Linked DNA regions of Astyanax mexicanus. The protein of the gene in region 2 interacts with the protein of the main gene of each other region in a pairwise test. Links are inferred from orthologs where the notes say so. Each region holds a gene or a part of one and is shown on either strand. Other genes may lie near its edges.

Evidence for each region.
Region 1: the proteins of zbtb8a (region 2) and kif9 interact in binary tests that used the Homo sapiens proteins (3 or more experiments, as listed by UniProt). The two-hybrid records come from large-scale screens. The link is inferred for Astyanax mexicanus from reciprocal best matches to the Homo sapiens genes ZBTB8A and KIF9.
Region 3: the proteins of zbtb8a (region 2) and znf276 interact in binary tests that used the Homo sapiens proteins (3 or more experiments, as listed by UniProt). The two-hybrid records come from large-scale screens. The link is inferred for Astyanax mexicanus from reciprocal best matches to the Homo sapiens genes ZBTB8A and ZNF276.

Annotation. Positions count from the first base shown.
Region 1 is NC_064415.1:39,516,547-39,523,135, forward strand, and holds the start of kif9 (kinesin-like protein KIF9), read left to right. Parts: upstream 1-2,887; 5' UTR 2,888-3,043; intron 3,044-4,595; exon of another isoform or gene 4,596-4,607; 5' UTR 4,608-4,612; coding exon 4,613-4,708; intron 4,709-4,843; coding exon 4,844-5,009; intron 5,010-6,121; coding exon 6,122-6,228; intron 6,229-6,323; coding exon 6,324-6,554; intron 6,555-6,589. UniProt on the Homo sapiens protein: Essential for normal male fertility and for progressive motility of spermatozoa.
Region 2 is NC_064421.1:41,107,375-41,113,963, forward strand, and holds the start of zbtb8a (zinc finger and BTB domain-containing protein 8A), read left to right. Parts: upstream 1-2,313; 5' UTR 2,314-2,579; coding exon 2,580-2,644; intron 2,645-2,691; exon of another isoform or gene 2,692-2,944; coding exon of another isoform or gene 2,945-2,946; intron 2,947-4,827; coding exon 4,828-5,654; intron 5,655-6,589. Other genes in the region: gale (UDP-glucose 4-epimerase), read left to right, coding at 1-61. UniProt on the Homo sapiens protein: May be involved in transcriptional regulation.
Region 3 is NC_064417.1:11,334,376-11,340,964, reverse strand, and holds the start of znf276 (zinc finger protein 276), read left to right. Parts: upstream 1-3,367; 5' UTR 3,368-3,399; intron 3,400-5,921; 5' UTR 5,922-5,960; coding exon 5,961-6,358; intron 6,359-6,589. UniProt on the Homo sapiens protein: May be involved in transcriptional regulation.

The DNA.
Region 1 (6,589 bases), on a different chromosome or scaffold from region 2:
GCAACATGTTTACAGTTTTCTGATGTTTATTAAATACTTTTATAATCCACCACCTTATATTTTATTATTGTAATGTTTCATTTACTGTTTTTTATAATGTTTTAAGATAAAAAGGGTTATTATCAATGCTATATAGGCCTACAGTATATATGTATTGGGCAGAACCGAGTTAAGTATATTAGTCTAAAACCATTCAAATTTCTCATGTGGACCCTTGGGAAAATTAATTGCCCACTCCTGCTCTAGCGGTTCACAGTAATTTTCTGATATAATGGAGGAGATAGGTACGGTGGCCGAGAAAGCCCAACGCAGTGCAAATTGAAAAGCGCTGCAAAAGCACAAAACACATCCATCAAAATTACAACACAGGCGCAGCAAATAGAAAAACGCGCTGCAACTAGAAAAACGCGCTGCAAATAGAAAAACGCGCTGCAAATAGAACCACAACACAACGGAAGTGAGTCACAACACAACGGAATTTTCCCGGGGGACCTTAAAAGATACTGTACGTCTCGCAGTGTTGGGAAGGTTACTTTTAAAATGTAATCCCTTACAGATTACTGATTACATCACTCAAAATGTAATTTGTAACATAATCAGTTACATTACTTCAAGTGAGTAACGTAATCTGATTACTTTGGATTACTTTAAATATTGTCATTTTTTTAAGCCTGAATGAATGTAACAAATAGATAAACAAATAAAACAGCCTTTTCAATCACTCTATAAAAATACTTATGAAACCATTTCATCAAACAATTTTATAAAACACTTCTATAAATTGATGATAAAACCATTTAAAACCAAACAATGTAACAACAACCGTAAGCTCTATCTATTTTGCAGGTTTGCCTCCAGTGTAATTTTGACAACAAATTGTGATTTAGTCTTAGTCATAGTCTTGTGACGAAAATAGTATTTAGTTTTAGTCACAATTTAGTCATCTGAAATGTTTTTAGTTTTAGTCGACTTAATGTCATAAGAATATAGTCGACTAAAATTACAGTAAATTTAGTCGACTAAAATGTAAAGGGTGTAAATGTAAATGCTTTTTTCATCAGTTCCCTTGAATTATTAACTCTACATGTATACAAAATGAAACGTTTAATAACCACTTGAGTAATATTGTTAATGTTTGAAAGTGAAATATATTTATATATGATTTAATGTATATTATTATTATTACTATTATTATTGTAGGTGTGTGTAAAATATTTTACATTTAAAATTTTGCTCTAGAAATCAGGTCATAAAACATCTGAATAGTTAAATTATAGTTTGAACAGCGTTGTAGATGCAAAAACTTTTAAAGGATCTAGTTTTATCTCCAGCACTAACCCAGCACACCTACTGTAGCTACATTCTATAAATGAACACACATTCACACACTGTCCTGTAGAGATGCTCTCAGGATGTACAGAGAGACTTCATGAGTTAAAGTGAGAAACTTATGAGAAAGTGCTGTAAGGAACTTTACACAAACTTTTGGGTTCATAGATTCACTTATTTTATTGTTTTATTTTGGATATATTATTGAGTTCCTTTCTGACCTGTTCCTGCTTTAACACTAGCTATATCTTTCCCACTGTGAGACTAAACAGATGATCGGATCTTAATGAGTTAGGGTTCTGTATCAGTTCTGTGTTTTAGTGCACTGCCGAGTTAAACACATCAGCTCATGAAATAACATCAGCATTAAAACGCTGATCTCTGCATGGAGATCTGTGTGACTCTGGTCTGCAGAAGCTGAAAGATTAGTGGTGTTTTTACCGGTAATGGAGTCGCTCCACGCGGTTTACACGTTATCTTGTTTTTCACGACGTCAAAAGAGAAATATATCGCCTCTCCTCTCTCTCTCTCCCTGCTGAACACTGTCGAGTTAACTTCCAGTCGAGCTCCGTATCGACAGTTTAATTCCGCGAGGCGCTGCTGCAGGAGAGGCGGGTACTCCACCTTCGCTAAAGTAGCAGTGATTGGATCTCTTCCTAACTGGTCCCTTCCTTTCACAGACCTAAATCAGTTCTGATTGGATTTCGTCCCTGCCAAACATTTTCGTCTCGTTTTTATTCGTTGACCAAAATGTCAGTTAATTTCGTCTCGTTGTGTGTGTGGAGCCGCTGTGAGCCGCTGCCCCTCCTCCCTGTGTGTGTGTGCAGCGAGACGGGAGGAGGGGCAGACAGTTCCCTGTCATATCAGAGCGTATTCACCGCAAAATGTTATTTGCGTTTTGTCAGTGTTGGATTGGAAGAGCAAAAATAGGAAAGTACCGCAATGTAACCCTTTTATTTTAGCAGAGTAACTGTAATCTGATTACCACTTACTGAAGCAGTAACTGTAACGGATTACAGTTACTTATAATTTGTAATCTGATTACGTAACGCCGTTACATGTAATCCGTTACTTCCCAACACTGACGTCTCGGACTTCACTATGTGTACAAAAGACAATAAGTGGCAAAACAAGGCGTTTTGTGAAGCAGAACTTTTAATAATATGCACACAACCGTGGCAATCACAGGTAATAAACATAACTTACTTTTCAGAAGCTTGTTTGCCACTTATTGTCCTTTGTATACAGCTGGTACAGCATCTTTTAAGGTCCCCCGGGAAAATTCCGTTGTGTTGTGACTCACTTCCGTTGTGTTGTGGCTCTATTTGCAGCGCGTTTTTCTATTTGCAGCGCGTTTTTCTAGTTGCAGCGCGTTTTTCTAGTTGCTGCGCCTGTGTTGTAATTTTGATGGATGTGTTTTGTGCTTTTGCAGCGCTTTTCAATTTGCACTGCGCTGGGCTTTCTCGGCCACCGTAGATAGGAAGTCCGCATGCTCTGATTTTACAACAGCAACTAAAGTTTACTAGATAGGGAACGAGGGTGCGGTTTGAGACACGACCCACAGTGCTGTTGCTCAGGCAACAGCTTCAACACTGCGGCGGCTCTCCGATTTCCGCCACAAACGTAGCTTAGTTTAACTAACATAATTTAGCTAATTATAGATATTATAGCAGTTTAGTTTCAGTCAGACTACAGCTAGATAACACTTTTAAAGGTGAGTTTATCCGACAAGTTCGACTATATGGTTTCATGTTAAGCCTCTAATTCCTAACTAGTTTAATACTCCGTGCGTGTCAAAAACAGGACTAAAACTACAATGTTTTACGCCTAAATAAACGCCAGTTTATTAACTCTAGTTTACTTGTATGAGTATTCATTTTTTACAATTATTGTATTTCACAATTTAAAACCACGTTTACCTGACACGCGGTTTTAGTGGACTTGTTGTCAGGGTGGAGTGTTCACTCCTGTCAGTCTGAATCAGACCGCACTGTGGAGTTCTACATTAGTTAGTTAGTTAGTTAAATTAGTTCATTTGTTAGTTAATAGTTAGGTTAGCTTACCTATCTATCTTGCTAACTAGATGATGTCGACATGTTAGTAGGGCTGGGTGTTATTGTAAAAAAATAATCTTGATATTCTTCCAATAAAGCTCTGGGAAAAAATGAGAAACCACTTAAAAATGATATGTTACTTTGGTTTTACCAAATAAACCTCTGGAATATAATCAAGAGGACGATGGATGATCACAAGCTATCAAACCAAGCCGAACTGCTTAAATTTCTGCACGGGTAGTGGCATAAAGTTATCCAAAAGCAGTGTGTAAGATATCTGAACTCTTAAGACTTTATGAATATGAACTTGTTGTCTTTGTATTATTTGAGGTCTGAAAGCTCTGCATCTTTTTTTTTCTCATTTTCTGCAAATAAAAGCTCTAAATGACAATATAGTAATTTATAGAATAAAACAATAATGTTCATTTTACTCAAACATAAACCTATACGTAGCAAAATCAAAGAAACTGATTCAGAAACTGAAGTGGTCTCTTATTTTTTTTTCCAGAGCTGTGTATGAGCAATTCTCGATACAATTTAGATTATAATAGTAAGCAGCCCAATTCAACCTTACATGCAGCTTGCTCAAACTCTACTAAAGCATTAATGCAGAGGAACAAATACAATTTTCTGGAATGATCATCTCAGTCCCCAGACCTGAATATTATTGAATATTCATCTGTGGTGTGATTTAAAGCGGGCTGTTCGTGATCAGAAACCATCAAACCTGACTGAACTGGGGATGTTTTGTAAAGAAGTATGATCCAAAATAAATATTGATGTAATTTTTCTGTTGGGGTGCCCAAATTTATGCACCTGCTTAATTTTGTTTAAAGAATTATCACACTCTTTCTGTAAATTCTATCAACTTTATTTCACTTTTCAAATATCACTGTGATTATCTGCTATATGATATATTTTACTGAAATTGCTGATCATGAACATGATCAGGAGTGCACACAATGTTCCATACCACTGTATGTCCCCAGGCAATAAAAGCATGTTAAAAAAATACCTTCTATCTTTTGCAGCCACATTTAATTAGTAAGCCACACAGAAATTTAATTCCAAAATAATTTCAAATGGGTGACTTATGTTTTTCTAGTTTGCACTGTAAATGTTTAATTGATGTGCTTAATATATAATGTGGGCAGTGCAACAGTTTGTGTGTTACTAGTTAAGTTTGATTGTGTTTGTCTATAATTGTAAAAGGTTTATTAATAGGTATCATGAGCGCACACAGCAGTGAGGTGAAGGTGTTTGTCCGCACCAGACCCACGGCCTGCTTTGCCCAGGATCTTATTGAATATCTGCCGGATAAACAGGTAAACTGGCACACTCAATAAAACAGTCACTTTATCATCTTCCTATTCTGTTTATCTTATCATTACGCAGCATCACATTTATTTTCACTGGGTTTTTCATTTGTACCACGTTTGTTATCTTGTTATCTTACTCAGACAGTAAATGTGCGGCACAGGCGGGAGTCCAGGAAAGGGGTGGTGAATAATCAGATGAGCTCCTGGTCATTTAAGCTGGATGGTGTGATGCACAACATGTCTCAGGAAGAGGTCTATCAGAGCGTTGCCCACAGTGTGGTGCTCCGAGCTCTGGAAGGCTACAATGGTAATTGCCATGAAATGCTGTGCAGTTTGGAACCATATTAATAATGTGTTATTTGAAACGCAAAATCAGTTTAAATATTATAAACTAGTCAAAGTTGGTTTATTGACAATACCACATACTGGACTTTGGGAAAATTAGATAGTAGTAACCAATATAATAAATGTATCTGTTTACAGTAATGTTGTGTCATTTTAGAATTATCTGCAGCATTTGTTTTATTGCACATTTTTTTCAGCTGCTTGTTTGCACAGCACTAATTTATTGTACATTTATCGTAATAGTTTTATACATTCCTCCACAACTAAATTAGCTTTATATGTCTGCAAGTATTCATCACACATTCCACATAAACACATATATATATATGCAGGTTTACCGTATTTATTTCATTAGCACCACCATGTGGAGCAATGAAGCAGTATATTTAGTAAATCAAATTAAGGGGTGAGTCTTAGGAAGTTGTAAGCATGTATGTTTTTTGGATGCACCCTTTTGTTAACTCGGAGCATCTTTGCCACTTTGGTGATTCAAATCTTCACACCTGCCAATTTCCCCCATGTCAAACATGAACTACAAGAACTGATTGTTTATTTACCATCTAAAGCATATAGTCGCTGTCCAATGAAAAATATTTATCTCCATTTTTGTCAAGTTTTAGTTTACTACATAAATTAAACAGACAAACTGTTCCTTACACTGTGCCAAAATCTATTGATGAATGGACCAATAGAAACTCTTCAAAATGACCTGAAATAAACTTTTTTTACATTGACTTCCATTGAAAGTTTTTTCTCTCAAAGTGTGAAGTCAAATTTACACTTTGTGCATGGTTATGTTTCTAAACTGTGCATTCCTTTTTTTGGGATATTAAATTGTTTTATCATTAGTTCTGTTAGACATTTGGCCTTTAGGAATCAGAAGTCAGATTGTTTAGATTGTAACTTTTTTCACGTGCAGACCTTGAGTAAAGAGTTTAAATTAAAACCACTAATTTAAGTTTGTTTAAAGTATCAACAATATCTGCTATAAAAATCATACTGTGTCACAGTCACTGTGTTTGACAGTCCATGTAATTTCAGTTTTCAAGTTTTTGAATTCTGTCTGTCTATCAGGTACAATCATGTGTTTTGGACAGACTGGGGCAGGAAAAACTTATACAATGACTGGTGCCACAGAGAGTTACCAGCAAAGAGGAATTATCCCTCGTGCCCTGCAGGAGGTACAACGTTCATTTGTTATCTTGATGCAGTCCTTTGGATACAGTATTTAATCATCTTAATCATCTCTTTGTGAAATCTCTCTCTCTCTGGCCAGGTGTTTTATGAGGTGGAGCAGCGTGTGGATCACACCTTTTCCGTGTTCCTCTCCTTTCTGGAGATCTATAATGAGACATTGGTGGACCTGCTAGCCTCAATAAAGAGGGGCCGGGCGGTGCAAGGCGGAGCCTTGACTATAGTGGAAGATCCAGGTGGTGGTGTTTCAGTGAAGGGACTTACTTTACATCCCGTACATAATGAAGAAGAGGCCTTTAATCTGCTTTTCGAGGTGAGGCAATGGTTTTGTGATCTTTTGGATCAATG
Region 2 (6,589 bases):
AGACCTGTGGCGCTGGCAGTCCCAAAATCCCACAGGCTTCAGTAATGGGAATGTGGTGTGAAGCTGATGCAGAAGGAAGACTGAAGAGAAGAAGATCCTAGAGCCATGAAGTCCATTACTTTTCTACGACTTGATTTAAACTAGACGAAATCTATGAAAACAATGACACAATGAATGATTTACATTCCTTACAGTACTGTTTCTACCTGATTACTTTTAAATTATTATTAGCAAGCCTTTGTCTCTTTGACCAATCTTAGTATGTGTCTTTATTGATCCTGTATTTTCTTTATTCAAATCCATTCTTAACTTAACATTTCCAGGGCCAAGTTCATTGCATATCTTTCTGTTTGTACCTTGTCATGTTGTCAATACTGTTGATTAACTTAATTCTTTAAATAATTATAATTTAATTATTTTGGGAAACAAGGGATTGTTTTATTTTCATCTGACTATACTTCTTTTATAACTGCATTGAAGCCAAATACAAGAAGACCAAAACAGGTGCTTTTTTGCAACTCATAATAAAAGGGATTTACAAAAAAATATATATTGTATCTTGTGCATTTATAAAGCTGTGTATTTCAGCCATTACATGTGTTATGCCCACGTTTCAGCATTGGAATAACTAGTTAATTACTAATAATACGTTTGTTAACCTAACTGTGAATTCTATCCGTCGCCTAAACCCAAATTTATTATGAAAGTTGATCTGAATTACTCTAGCATTCAGCTCTTATTCAGCACATGAGCCCAGTTCAGTATTACTTCATTCAATAATTACTAATAAAATATAAAATGATGATAGCCTTGTTTTTCCTCCCACTGTCAATTTTCTCATTTTTGGCAGGGCACTTTATAGTTCATTCTCAGCACTGCAGTGATACTGACTGGCATGGTGGTGGTGTATGAGGTGTTAGTGTGTGTATGTTGGCATAAGTGGATCAGATACAGCAGTGCTGCTGGAGTTTTTAAACATCTCACTGTCACTGCTGGACAGAGAATAGTCCACCAACAGCATCCTGTTTGCACTGATGAAGGACTAAAGGATGACCATCATAAACTGTGCAGCAACAGATTCAGAGCTTCTGTCTCTAACTTTAAACCTACTAGGTGGAGCAGCTAGGTTACCCTGGTTTTACACTCTAGATCTGCACCAAGAGCTTTTAGAGCTTCTGGTACAGCTACAACAATACAATAGATAAACAAATTGCAAAAGTGTAACGTAAGAGCAACATAAATCTAAAACACCAAAATAAATCAAATAAATACAATAGATGAGACAATTTAAAAGACAAGACAGTGCAGTACCATCACGGTAAAGTTAAATGTTCTAGTGAGGATAAGGTGCAGAGGAATTTAACATGCTGTAACGTATAGAACATACATGATCACAGCAGTTACTGATGTAGAGAATTTGTGTTTTTTTGGTAGAAGCAGCAAACATTGCTGATAGGGATGAAGATACTGAGACACTGAAACACAGAGAAACATTTCAGTCTCTGTGTGCTGAGTCTTTCTGTGTGTGAAGAGTGGTGGGGGGTTTAGTTCAGATCTGTGTGTTGTGGAGTCTGACTGCCTGGTGGATGAAGCTGTTGCAGAGTCCGGTAGTAAAGGCTCGGAAGCTCCTGTATCTTCTGCCGGACGGCATCAGACTGAAGAGTACATGTGAGGGATGGGTGGGGTCGTCCATAAGCTTTGCAGATGTAGCGTGTGGTGTAGATCTCGGTGATGGAGGGGAGAGGGTCTCCGATGATCTGCTCAGCTGTCCTCACTGTCCGCTGTAGGGTCTTGCGATCTGAGATGTTGCAGTTCCCAAACCAGGCTGTAATGCAGGTGCTCAAGATGCATTCTACAGTCTTGCTATTTTAATCTCAGTGTCTTCATGAGGTAGTGTCACCTGAAATAGTTTTCTCAACGTTTTGAGGGACTAATAATAATATTATTAGTTAAAACAAATAGTGTTATCCATTGTGGGTGTATATTCTGAGCTCTAACTATTCAAACTGAATGAGTTCGATTAATTGTCAGAATTTCAACACTCTAACCAATGCCTATATTAGGCAATGTTAAATAAAGGGTGGTTAAATTTTTCTTCTGTCCACTTTAAAAGATGGGATGCAACCAAAACAATAACATTTATTCAAGGTTTTTAATACCAGGCTGTTTAATTGTTGTTTTTCCATTGTCAACATTGACAGATGTGATGCATACAAAACAACAACATTTATTAAATGTTATTTGATATCGAGGTAAGATTGGACGACTCGGACGGGTGCGGTCGGTCTCCTGCGGGAGGGTTAGAGGCGCAGAGGTCGGGTGGAGTGGCCGGGCTGGAGCGAGCGGAGAGCGGGCATGTGGAGGAGGACACTTGTGCTTTAAGTGGCTCCACAGCCCTGGCGGGCTCTCTGAACACCCACGTCAGCAAGAGCCGTGTGGGGGGCTTTATCCCCCTCACACACACACACACACACACTAACGGGTTTCGGTCTTTCGGGCTAAGCAGGAAGTGATCAGTTAAAGCTGGAGGGGGTGGGAAACAGCACCACCACTAAAACCGACCAAAGTAGCCTAAAGACATGGAGATGGTCTGCGAAAGTGGGACGAGTAGACCGTACCGGACCCCGAGCGAGCCGGGTCAGCAGTGAGTATGCTGTATGCCGCTTTGTTGGAGGAAAGGGGGCGGAAGGAAGGGGCACAGCCGCCCCGGAGTGTGAGACGGGGGAGAGGCAGAGAGAGGCAGGCAGCGGGGCCGGAGCGGACTTAGGTGGGTGGCGGGCGGAGGTCAGGCAGGAGGGAGTCAGCGGGCTAGGCGGAGCTCCGCGCACGGGGAGAGAGCACCGCGCCGCCGCTGCGCAGTGCAGGATCTCCCGCTGAAGAAGAGGGCTAACCGCGGGCTGTGGGAGCCGAGCTAAGTCCCTGAACCACCCCGGGCGTGGTTTGCATGTTAGCCCACCCTCTTTAAACCCTTAATATGGGCGTTTATTCGCTTTATTTCGTTGATAATGCTCAAAATGTTGCATTTAGTGCCGTGGACACAGTATTTTACTGTATTTTCCTGTTTAGCTGCTGCAGTTAGTAGAGAACAGGGGGAGGGAAGGAGGTCGATGGGCTCAAACATGAAGGGCTTCCAGCGGCTGCCCGTTTCCACATTATTAGCTTATTTTATGGCAAATATTCCACACATTTATCTCGTCTGTCTTATTAACTGAGGAAAAACACACACATTATGGCTAGTGAGCGTTATCCAGGTCCTGGAGGTTAGAAGCTAGTTTTAGCTCGCCTTTCAAACGGGTGTAGGCTGCTCTAATGGAGCACGGGCGGGCGTGCTCGTTTTTTTCTTTTTTTGTGGGATTGACCTCTTTTTCAACATCAATTGCGAAATATTATAGCTAATTATTAACTTATTATAATGAAATATAAATGAAAATATGTTTGTAAGATATTGGTAAAAAAAAAATAGAATATATTTTTGGTGCTTGTCTGTTCTGATTACAAGGTTTAATCATATACATTAAAATCTATAAAATAAAAGAAGATAGAGAAAAATATATATATATATATTATTTTTCTCTGATTTTTACCACCCGACCTTTTTTATTTACCTCCACCCCGATCCTAAATTCTGTTACCCGTTGGGAGAAACGGGGGTGTGTGTGTTATTTTTGTCCCCACCCATTTTAGGAATATAATTGACAGCACTAGGAGCTTATAGCAGATGCCGCACTCATGACTTTCAGTCCTGTTCTATTAGCCAATCACAGTGCATCAAGGGGGCGGGACCTGTCGCAATACAGGTGGGAAAGGAAATAACACGGGGTGCGGCTCTCTCCTCGAGAGCCAGCGCGCTTGACTGACAGACGTAACAGCCAATCAGAAAGCAGGGGTGTCTGTTTTAGCCCTTTTCCTTTCTGGATGGAACAAAGGATCTGGGAAGGGGAGAGGATGACCCAGAAATGGGCTGCTGGGGTGAATTATGATCCACGGTCTGGAGCACTTCAGTGGAAATGTTGTGGCTGAGCCGATTTGACTCTGTATACCTAGATTTTAACGTTGGTGGCTAAAAACAAGCATATACTATAATAATTATTTTTTATAATTTATTTTTTATTGTCTTTTATATTACAAGTGGGACTAGACAATAATTCAATATCAACATATATCATATATCTTAGCTTATATCAAACAGCAAAACATACTTTATCTAACCAAGGCTAGCTGCTGTGTCTATGCTAAATTTGATATCAATTATATATATTTTGGTCATTTTGCATCTGTACCTACTGTAAGATGTGGTTTCTCTATTGCTGAACTGGTCCACACCTGCTCTTTTTGTGTGGGTATGATGGTTTGTGGTAGACTTGTCACATAACATTATTATTATATGGAATATTATAAAGGCATTATCAACCTATCATAAAGTATATGAACATGACCTCAATTATTTTTGCTGATGTAGATATTGCCCATAGTTTTTTACCAAGCATGGAGATTCAATTGACATCAATGAGAAGCACCATCTACCCTTCCAAAGAGAGCATGGCCAATTATGCTTTCTTGGACTCTGGCTGCTGATGGCATGCAGCATTATTTAGAACATAAAAATATTTTATATATTGAAATTCGATGTCTGAATATTTTTTAATAATTAAAAAAGGGGACAGGATTAGTCTGTTGTCAGAGGCCTTCAGCAAGGAGTAATGTTTTTTGAAATATCGTGATATTATTTTAGGGGCATATTGTCCACCTCTAATTTCACAACATATTTCTTTAAAACCAGCTAATTTTTAATCATGCCATCTTTAACTGCATCTTTTCTTATTTCAGGCTGATCCACAAATTCACGAGTGCAGACATATCAGCCAATCACCAGTGCTGCCTCCTGAAACAGCTGGACCAACAGAGACGGAAGCAGCTCTTCTGTGACTGCAACATCCTTGTGGAGGGGCACCTTTTCCGGGCACACCGTAACGTCCTGTTCGGCAGCAGCGGCTACTTCCGCATGCTGCTCTCCCAGGGGGCCAAGAGCAGCCTGGAGCCCGTCAGTGCCTCCTTTGACGCTTTTAGCCCCGACATCTTTACCATCATCCTGGACTTTGTGTACTCTGGAAAACTGGAGCTTAACAGCACCAATATGATCGAGGTGATGTCAGCGGCCAGCTACCTGCAGATGGATGACGTCATCGCCTACTGCAAGTCCTTCATCAAATCCTCCCTGGAGATCAGCACCAAGGAGGAGGACAGCCGCTACCTGTGTTTGTCGGATGGCAGCGCTTCACGAGACGGTGGTGAGGATGGCAGTGAAGAGCCCACGGCCTGCGAGGTCAGCACAGCCAATGAAAACGTCCTTTGGGACCAGCAGGAGGAGGACGACCAGTCTAAATATGAGTACCCTGGAGAGGTGACCAGCCCACAGTCCTCAGCCTTGCCGCAGAGCCCCCCGACCCAATCCATCATGGACTCTGGAATGGAGGAGGATCAGGCGGTGCAGTTCACGGCGGTGGAGCCCCGGAGGAGGGGGAACAGGAAGAGAACGGCCACGCATCGCTACGCTCCAGACGATTCACCCTTGGACCTCCAGTCTTCTCACAAAGCAGATGAACTCTATGCCACCATGCCCACTATTTTAGGAGTGGTGGGTGTTTTCAACAAAGGTAAGATCATATATAAGGGGCTCTTATATTCAGCATTGTCTTGCATGATTTAAAAAAAAAACTGGACTCACACATTGTGATTACAAATGAGATTGGTGAAAGTCTTAGAGATTGGACCGATCTAGGCCTGGACAATAATTCGATATCGGTATTTATCGTGATAAGAAATGTTTCAATAACGGTGATATAATTTTTGTGGTATATCGATATGTTTTATTTACATGGACAGGCATTTTTTACTGGCGTAAGCTCGCCCCAGAGCTGAACACAATCAGCCTCCGTTGCTGAGCTATGTCTGTGCGTGATGACGTAATCACACAGGCACGTAGCCACATAGGCTAGGCTAGGCTAGGTTAGATTTGACTTGGCTAGGCTAGGCTAGACTAGGCTCGGGTCCGCTCCGCTACGCATCTAAAATGCCTCGCGCTGGAGCCAAACGGAGCCAGGACAAGCAGATTCAAGGTTTTTGTATTCGTTATCCTAGTTGAAACACTTGTTTTGATCTGTTAAATATGTTTACAAAAGAGTAAGACGCTCTGCGTCTGTTGTAATTTAAAGTTATTTTTTGTTATTTAGTTATATAGGCTTATGTTTAACAGGGATGTCATGTTTTTATTTTGCTATATGCAAATAAAATTGAGCATTGATTTATTTTGATAATTTTTTATTTCTTAAGTATTATAAAGTTTTTGTGAAAGGAGGTTTCAAAGACTTAAATACTATTTTCAGACAGTAGTGTACAGATTTCCATTGCAGGGATTCTTAGCAGTTTTCTAAGGCCTTCAAAATATTTATATCGATATCGAAATTATATAGTATCGACCGAAATTAAGGAATATATCGTGATATAAATTTTGGCCATATCATCCAGCACTAGACCGATCCAATACAGTATCGGTATCGGGGCCGATATTAAGAATGTAAGCGGAACGGTT
Region 3 (6,589 bases), on a different chromosome or scaffold from region 2:
AACTGACTAGCAACCACCTACCAACATTATAGCACCAAATAAGCAATATCATAGTAACCAATTGGCAACTACTTAACAGCACTACAGCAAGCACCTAGCAATATCTAAGCAATTCCATAGCAACCATTGACCAACTCTGGAAGATACTGTAGGGCCAAGCGATCATCAAGCAACTTAGCAACCACCAACCAACACCCCATCAAGAAAACACCAGGGATACCATAGCAACCACACTATAGAGTCTATTTAGCAACCACCTGGTATACCATATAAACTGCCCAACAAACACTAAGCATTCTATCAACCATTTAATTAGCAACCAACTAGCATTATTACAGCAATTGTAAGCCCTGGTGACACCACAAGAGAATCCAAACATCTATGATGATACCATTGCAACTACTTAACAACCACTATGCAGTTCCTCCTCATAGCATTTGCTAAACAACTTTATAGCAACCACTATGCCACACTCCAGCGTCCACTCTACTGTCCACATATCAAAAACGGGAAATCTTCACCAGCCCATTCTGCACCAATAAACTATGTAATACTTATGCAGTGACATAATCCTAATGATTTGTGCTCTGCATGCCACCACACTGGATTTAAAGTGAAAAGTTTAGTTAATTTTTCTACAATGCCTCATCATTTCAGGAGTACAAAATTATTTGGACAAATTAATTTTACTATTCTTTTTGACATAATCAAACACTGGGTTTCCTCCCTTATGATGTTTTGCCAAGTCTTTACTGCAGCTTTCTTCAGTTGATGTTGTTTTTTTGGGTCTTAAGCAAGTGAAGTGCTGCCCAATCAGGTTCAGATCCTAGGATCTTAGTTTCACCTGTCCAACGAATGATATACCAGAACTGGGCTGGCTTCTTTAGATGGTTTTGGTATACTCTAATCTGGTAATAATCTTTTCTATTAAAGATCTTTGTAGTCCCGTGAAGTTTTCTCTTTATAGTAGACTGATTATAAATTCTGATACACCTACTTCTGGAGAGTACTCTTCTCTTGGGTGGATGTTGTGAAGAGATTTTCTTCACCATGGACAGGATTCTGCTCGCATTCCCCACTGTTGACTTCCGTGGATGTCCAGGTCTTTTTAAATTCCTGAGATTATCACTGCGATCTTTTTTCCCCAGAGTGTACCAAACTGATTATTGAGCTTCTTCAAGAGAGCTCCTTTAACTGCAGGTTGCAGGTTGCAAGGCCAACATGTTGACAACTGTGCTTGACGAGTGACCCTGGACTGATCCTAGTCTCTACAAACTAGCTATGGATATTTTGAAGTAAACAACGAAGCACTGTCGCTCTGGATAACGGCTACTGCTAAATAACTTAAATGTAAATGTTAATCGTCAGGTGAAGAAGGAAGAGGCTATTTGAGTGAATGTGAAGTAACCTCTTCTGAGATAGACTATGCATGGCTGTTCGGCTCGCCACAAAGTCTTAGACAGGCCAGAAGGTCTAAAGGCCCTGAGAAAAAAACATGACTGGTTTACTGGATTTAATGAAGCTCCTTAAAGAAACATATTGTTTAATAATGTTTAATCAGCAGTGTTATGTTTGTTTCGCATAACCAATTGACAATCATGTGACTGATGATTTTAACTCCAATTAGAACATGCATTATGATAAAGTTAATTTACATGTAAATTATGTTTGAATATAATTGTTAGTGCAAGAGAAAGGACTACGGTGGCCGAGAAAGCCCAGCGCAGTGCAAATTGAAAAGCGCTGCAAAAGCACAAAACACATCCATCAAAATTACAACACAGGCGCAGCAAATAGAAAAACGCGCTGCAAAAAGAAAAACGCGCTGCAAATAGAACCACAACACAACGGAAGTGAGTCACAACACAACGGAATTTTCCCGGGGGACCTTAAAAGATGCTGTACCAGCTGTGTACAAAGGACAATAAGTGGCAAACAAGCTTCTGAAAAGTAAGTTATGTTTATTACCTGTGATTACCATGGTTGTGTGCATATTATTAAAAGTTCTGCTTCACAAAACGCCTTGTTTGCCACTTATTGTCCTTTGTACACATAGTGAAGTCCGAGACGTTACTGAAGACGCAGCTTAGCTGGTACAGTATCTTTTAAGGTCCCCCGGGAAAATTCCGTTGTGTTGTGACTCACTTCCGTTGTGTTGTGGTTCTATTTGCAGCGCGTTTTTCTTTTTGCAGCGCGTTTTTCTATTTGCTGCGCCTGTGTTGTAATTTTGATGGATGTGTTTTGTGCTTTTGCAACGCTTTTCAATTTGCACTGCGTTGGGCTTTCTCAGCCACCGTAAAGGACAGTTAAAGTAGTTCAGTTAATTTTTTTCCTGTATTTATTTCTCCTTTTTCCTTATTACTGATTCTTTGTTTGATTCATGCTCTGGTTTGGAAATCAAACCAGTAAAACTGACTGCACTGATTTACTTCAGGAATGCACTATAGTATTTTTATGGACAGCGAAACTGAGAATTAGCGTTTGTGCGTGCGTTTCTCCGGGCGCCGCAGGTGAGGGGGCGCTCTGGGCTGGGAGCTGTTCCTCTCTGTGCATTTATTTACTACTGAAGAGTTCCGGGTCGTGCCTATCGCCCTCCCGCCTTTTGCACGAGCAGCTTTGATCTCCGTTAGCGCCGCTGCTGCTGTTACTGTTATTGTCATTATTATAGTATTATCGTTAGTTTTCAGATTAAGCAGTGTTAGTAGTGCGGCGCTCTCTGCAGGTGTACTGAGCGGCAGCGCGAGCGCCGGTGTCTGATGGACTCAGGTAGGGTCAAAGCTGATCTGAGACTGAGAGCGTTATTACACTGTTTATAAGCGCTGCCGGTGTTTATAACAGTGCTGAGTGTGTGCAGCTGTGTGAAATGGTTTGTTTTAAGGTGGAACTACCTGAAATATTTAAGGTGACCACAGATAATCGAGTTCGGTGGTTGGGTTTTTATATACTGTAAGTTAAACAAGCCCCGTATTTAATACATGCTGAATGAGCCAGGGTAGTTTCAGTAATTATATGCTGCATTCAGTCTGTTTTAATAAAGATTAGTTATAAATATCTCCTTATATGGTTTATGGGTAACTCGGGTGTGTTTTAATGCGTGTAGCTGAGGTTTTGCGTATCTAGTGCGTAGCTAGCTGTATGTAGTGAATTCAGGGTAAAAGACTATTTACTGTTTTGTCTCTGTGTGCTCTGTATAGTGTAAGTGTGATGAATAATTTATAACCGGGTTATTTCTGTAATGCTTATCCATGTGCATCATATAAAATCTTACATTCTCAAACCCAGAAGAGGATAATAAAATGTATGTTAACTGGCTTTCGTATATTTTAGGTGTGTTTATGATCTCTGTTTTGGTTTTTACACAATCCAGGTTTCATGGAATTTAATGGAGTATGACTGAGGGTAAGTGCAGCACTATATTGTACTGTGTTTCAGTGTAACACAGTAGTGTGTGTTAATATTACATCGCTACTGTTATAGGTTAGGAGGAGTAACTGTTGGTGCCGGGTGAGAGGATGTGTAACTGTTAGTGCTGGGTGAGAGGGTGGGTAGCTGTTAGTGCCAGGTGAGGGGGTGGGTAACTGTTGGTGCCGGGTGAGGGGTGTGTGTAACTGTTGGTGCCGGGTGAGGGGTGTGTGTAACTGTTGGTGCCGGGTGAGGGGTGTGTGTAACTGTTGGTGCCGTATGAGGGGTGTGTGTAACTGTTGGTGCTGGGTGAGGGGTGTGTGTAACTTTAGTGCCGGGTGAGGGGGTGTGTAACTGTCAGTGCCGGGTGAGGGGGTGTGTAACTGTCAGTGCCGGGTGAGGGGGTGGGTAACTGTCAGTGCCGGGTGAGAGGGTGGGTAGCTGTCAGTGCCGGGTGAGAGGGTGGGTAGCTGTTAGTGCCGGGTAAGGGGGTGTGTAACCGTTAGTGCTGGGTGAGGGGGTGGGTAGCTGTTCGTGCCGGGTAAGGGTGTGTGTAACTGTTGGTGCCGGGTGAGGGGTGTGTGTAACTGTTGGTGCCGGGTGGGTGTGTGTAACTGTTGGTGCCGTATGAGGGGTGTGTGTAACTGTTGGTGCCGGGTGAGGGGTGTGTGTAACTGTTGGTGCCGGGTGGGTGTGTGTAACTGTTGGTGCCGTATGAGGGGTGTGTGTAACTGTTGGTGCCGGGTGAGGGGTGTGTGAAACTGTCGGTGCCGGGGGACGGGTGTGTGTAACTGTCAGTGCCGGGTGAGTGGGTGTGTAACTGTCAGTGCCGGGTGAGTGGGTGTGTAACTGTCAGTGCCGGGTGAGGGGTATGTAAGTGTCAGTGCCGAGTGGGAGGGGGTCTAAGTGTCAATGCCGTGTGAGAGGGGGTGTAAGTGTCAGTGCCGGGTGAGAGGGGGTGTAAGTGTCAGTGCCGGGTGAGAGGGGGTGTAAGTGTCAGTGCGGGGTGAGAGGGGGTGTAAGTGTCATTGCCGGGTGAGAGGGGGTGTAAGTGTCATTGCCGGGTGAGAGGGGGTGTAAGTGTCAGTGAGGGGTGGGGGGGCCGGGTGAGGGGTATGTAAGTGTTAGTGCCGGGTGAGAGGGTTGGTAGCTGTTAGTGCCAGGTGAGGGGGTGTAAGTGTCAGTGCCAGAAGAGAAGGGGTGTAAGTGTCAGTGCCGGGCTGAGGGGGCCGGGAGAGAGGGGGTGTAAGTGTCAGTGCCGGGAGAGAAGACGTGTGTGTGTAAGTGTCAGTGCCGGGTGAGGGGTATGTAAGTGTCAGTGCCGGGTGAGAGGGGGTGTAAGTGTCAGTGCCGGGTGAGAGGGGATGTAAGTGTCAGTGAGGGGTGTGTAAGTGTCAGTGCCGGGTGAGAGGGGGTGTAAGTGTCAGTGCAGGGTGAGAGGGATGTCAGTGCCGGGTGAGAGGGGTGTAAGTGTCAGTGCCGGGTGAGAGGGGGTGTAAGTGTCAGTGCCGGGTGAGAGGGGGTGTCAGTGCCGGGTGAGAGGGGTGTAAGTGTCAGTGCCGGGTGAGAGGGGGTGTAAGTGTCAGTGAGGGGTGAGAGGGTGTGTAAGTGTCAGTGAGGGGTGTGTAAGTGTCAGTGCCGGGTGAGAGGGGGTGTAAGTGTCAGTGCCGGGTGAGAGGGGGTGTAAGTGTCAGTGAGGGGTGAGAGGGGGTGTAAGTGTCAGTGCCGGGTGAGAGGGGGTGTAAGTGTCAGTGCCGGGTGAGAGGGGGTGTAAGTGTCAGTGCCGGGTGAGAGGGGATGTAAGTGTCAGTGAGGGGTGTGTAAGTGTCAGTGCCGGGTGAGAGGGATGTCCGTGCCGGGTGAGAGGGATGTCAGTGCCGGGTGAGAGGGATGTCAGTGCCGGGTGAGAGGGGTGTAAGTGTCAGTGCCGGGTAAGAGGCGGTGTAAGTGTCAGTGCCGGGTGAGAGGGGGTGTAAGTGTCAGTGCCGGGTGAGAGGGGGTGTAAGTGTCAGTGCCGGGTGAGAAGGGGTGTCAGTGCCGGGTGAGAGGGGTGTAAGTGTCAGTGCCGGGTAAGAGGCGGTGTAAGTGTCAGTGCCGGGTGAGAGGGGGTGTAAGTGTCAGTGCCGGGTGAGAAGGGGTGTCAGTGCCGGGTGAGAGGGGTGTAAGTGTCAGTGCCGGGTGAGAGGGGGTGTAAGTGTCAGTGAGGGGTGTGTAAGTGTCAGTGCCGGGTGAGAGGGGGTGTAAGTGTCAGTGCCGGGTGAGAGGGGGTGTAAGTGTCAGTGCCGGGTGAGAGGGGGTGTAAGTGTCAGTGCCGGGTGAGAGGGGGTGTAAGTGTCAGTGCCGGGTGAGAGGGGGTGTAAGTGTCAGTGCCGGGTGAGAGGGGGTGTAAGTGTCAGTGCCGGGTGAGAGGGGGTGTAAGTGTCAGTGCCGGGTGAGAGGGGGTGTAAGTGTCAGTGCCGGGTGAGGGGTGTGTAAGTGTGTTTCTGTATATATATTTAGAATGGAGTGTTTTTGTTCAGTTTTGTGCTCCTAGTGAAGCAGCAGTTCCCCTGTGGGTCATGCAGCGCGGTCAGGCTGTGCGGCGGCGCCGGGCAGGTCGGTCAGACACACACAAGCCGAAGATGAGACGCTCGGCCTCGGGTGAGCCCGCCACGCCACACGGAACTGGAAAACCTGACAAAGTGGGCAAATCGAGCAAGGTGGGCACCGGGCAGTGCCGCCTGTGCCACGGGCAGTTCTCCTCACGCCGGCTTCGCAGGGCCTTCGGAAAGCCCCCGGACTCGGACCGGTTCTGTTCAGATTTCCAGCGCCTCCTGGGCGTCCCGCTGCTCCGGGACCCGGCGCTGCCCCAGTTCATCTGCAGGACCTGCCATGCCCAGTTCTACAAGTGCCTCAGCATCCTCACCAACTTCAGAGAGAGAGTCAACCTCACCCCTAACTCCACCCACATGGAGAGGTGCGCTCGCCTGCAGCCGCATATTCCACTTCTGTTTATTTGGAATCTATAAACGACTAACCGCATTAATAATTAAATAAACTAATAAAATATTAGCTTAATTGTGTTATTTGTATTATTTTTTATGTTGATTTTGATTTGTCTCAGTAATCAACTTTTACTGTTATTTTGTAAAAGTTCTGCTGCATGTGACAGTGCTGTTAGAACAAATTATGCTAGGTAATACTTTCA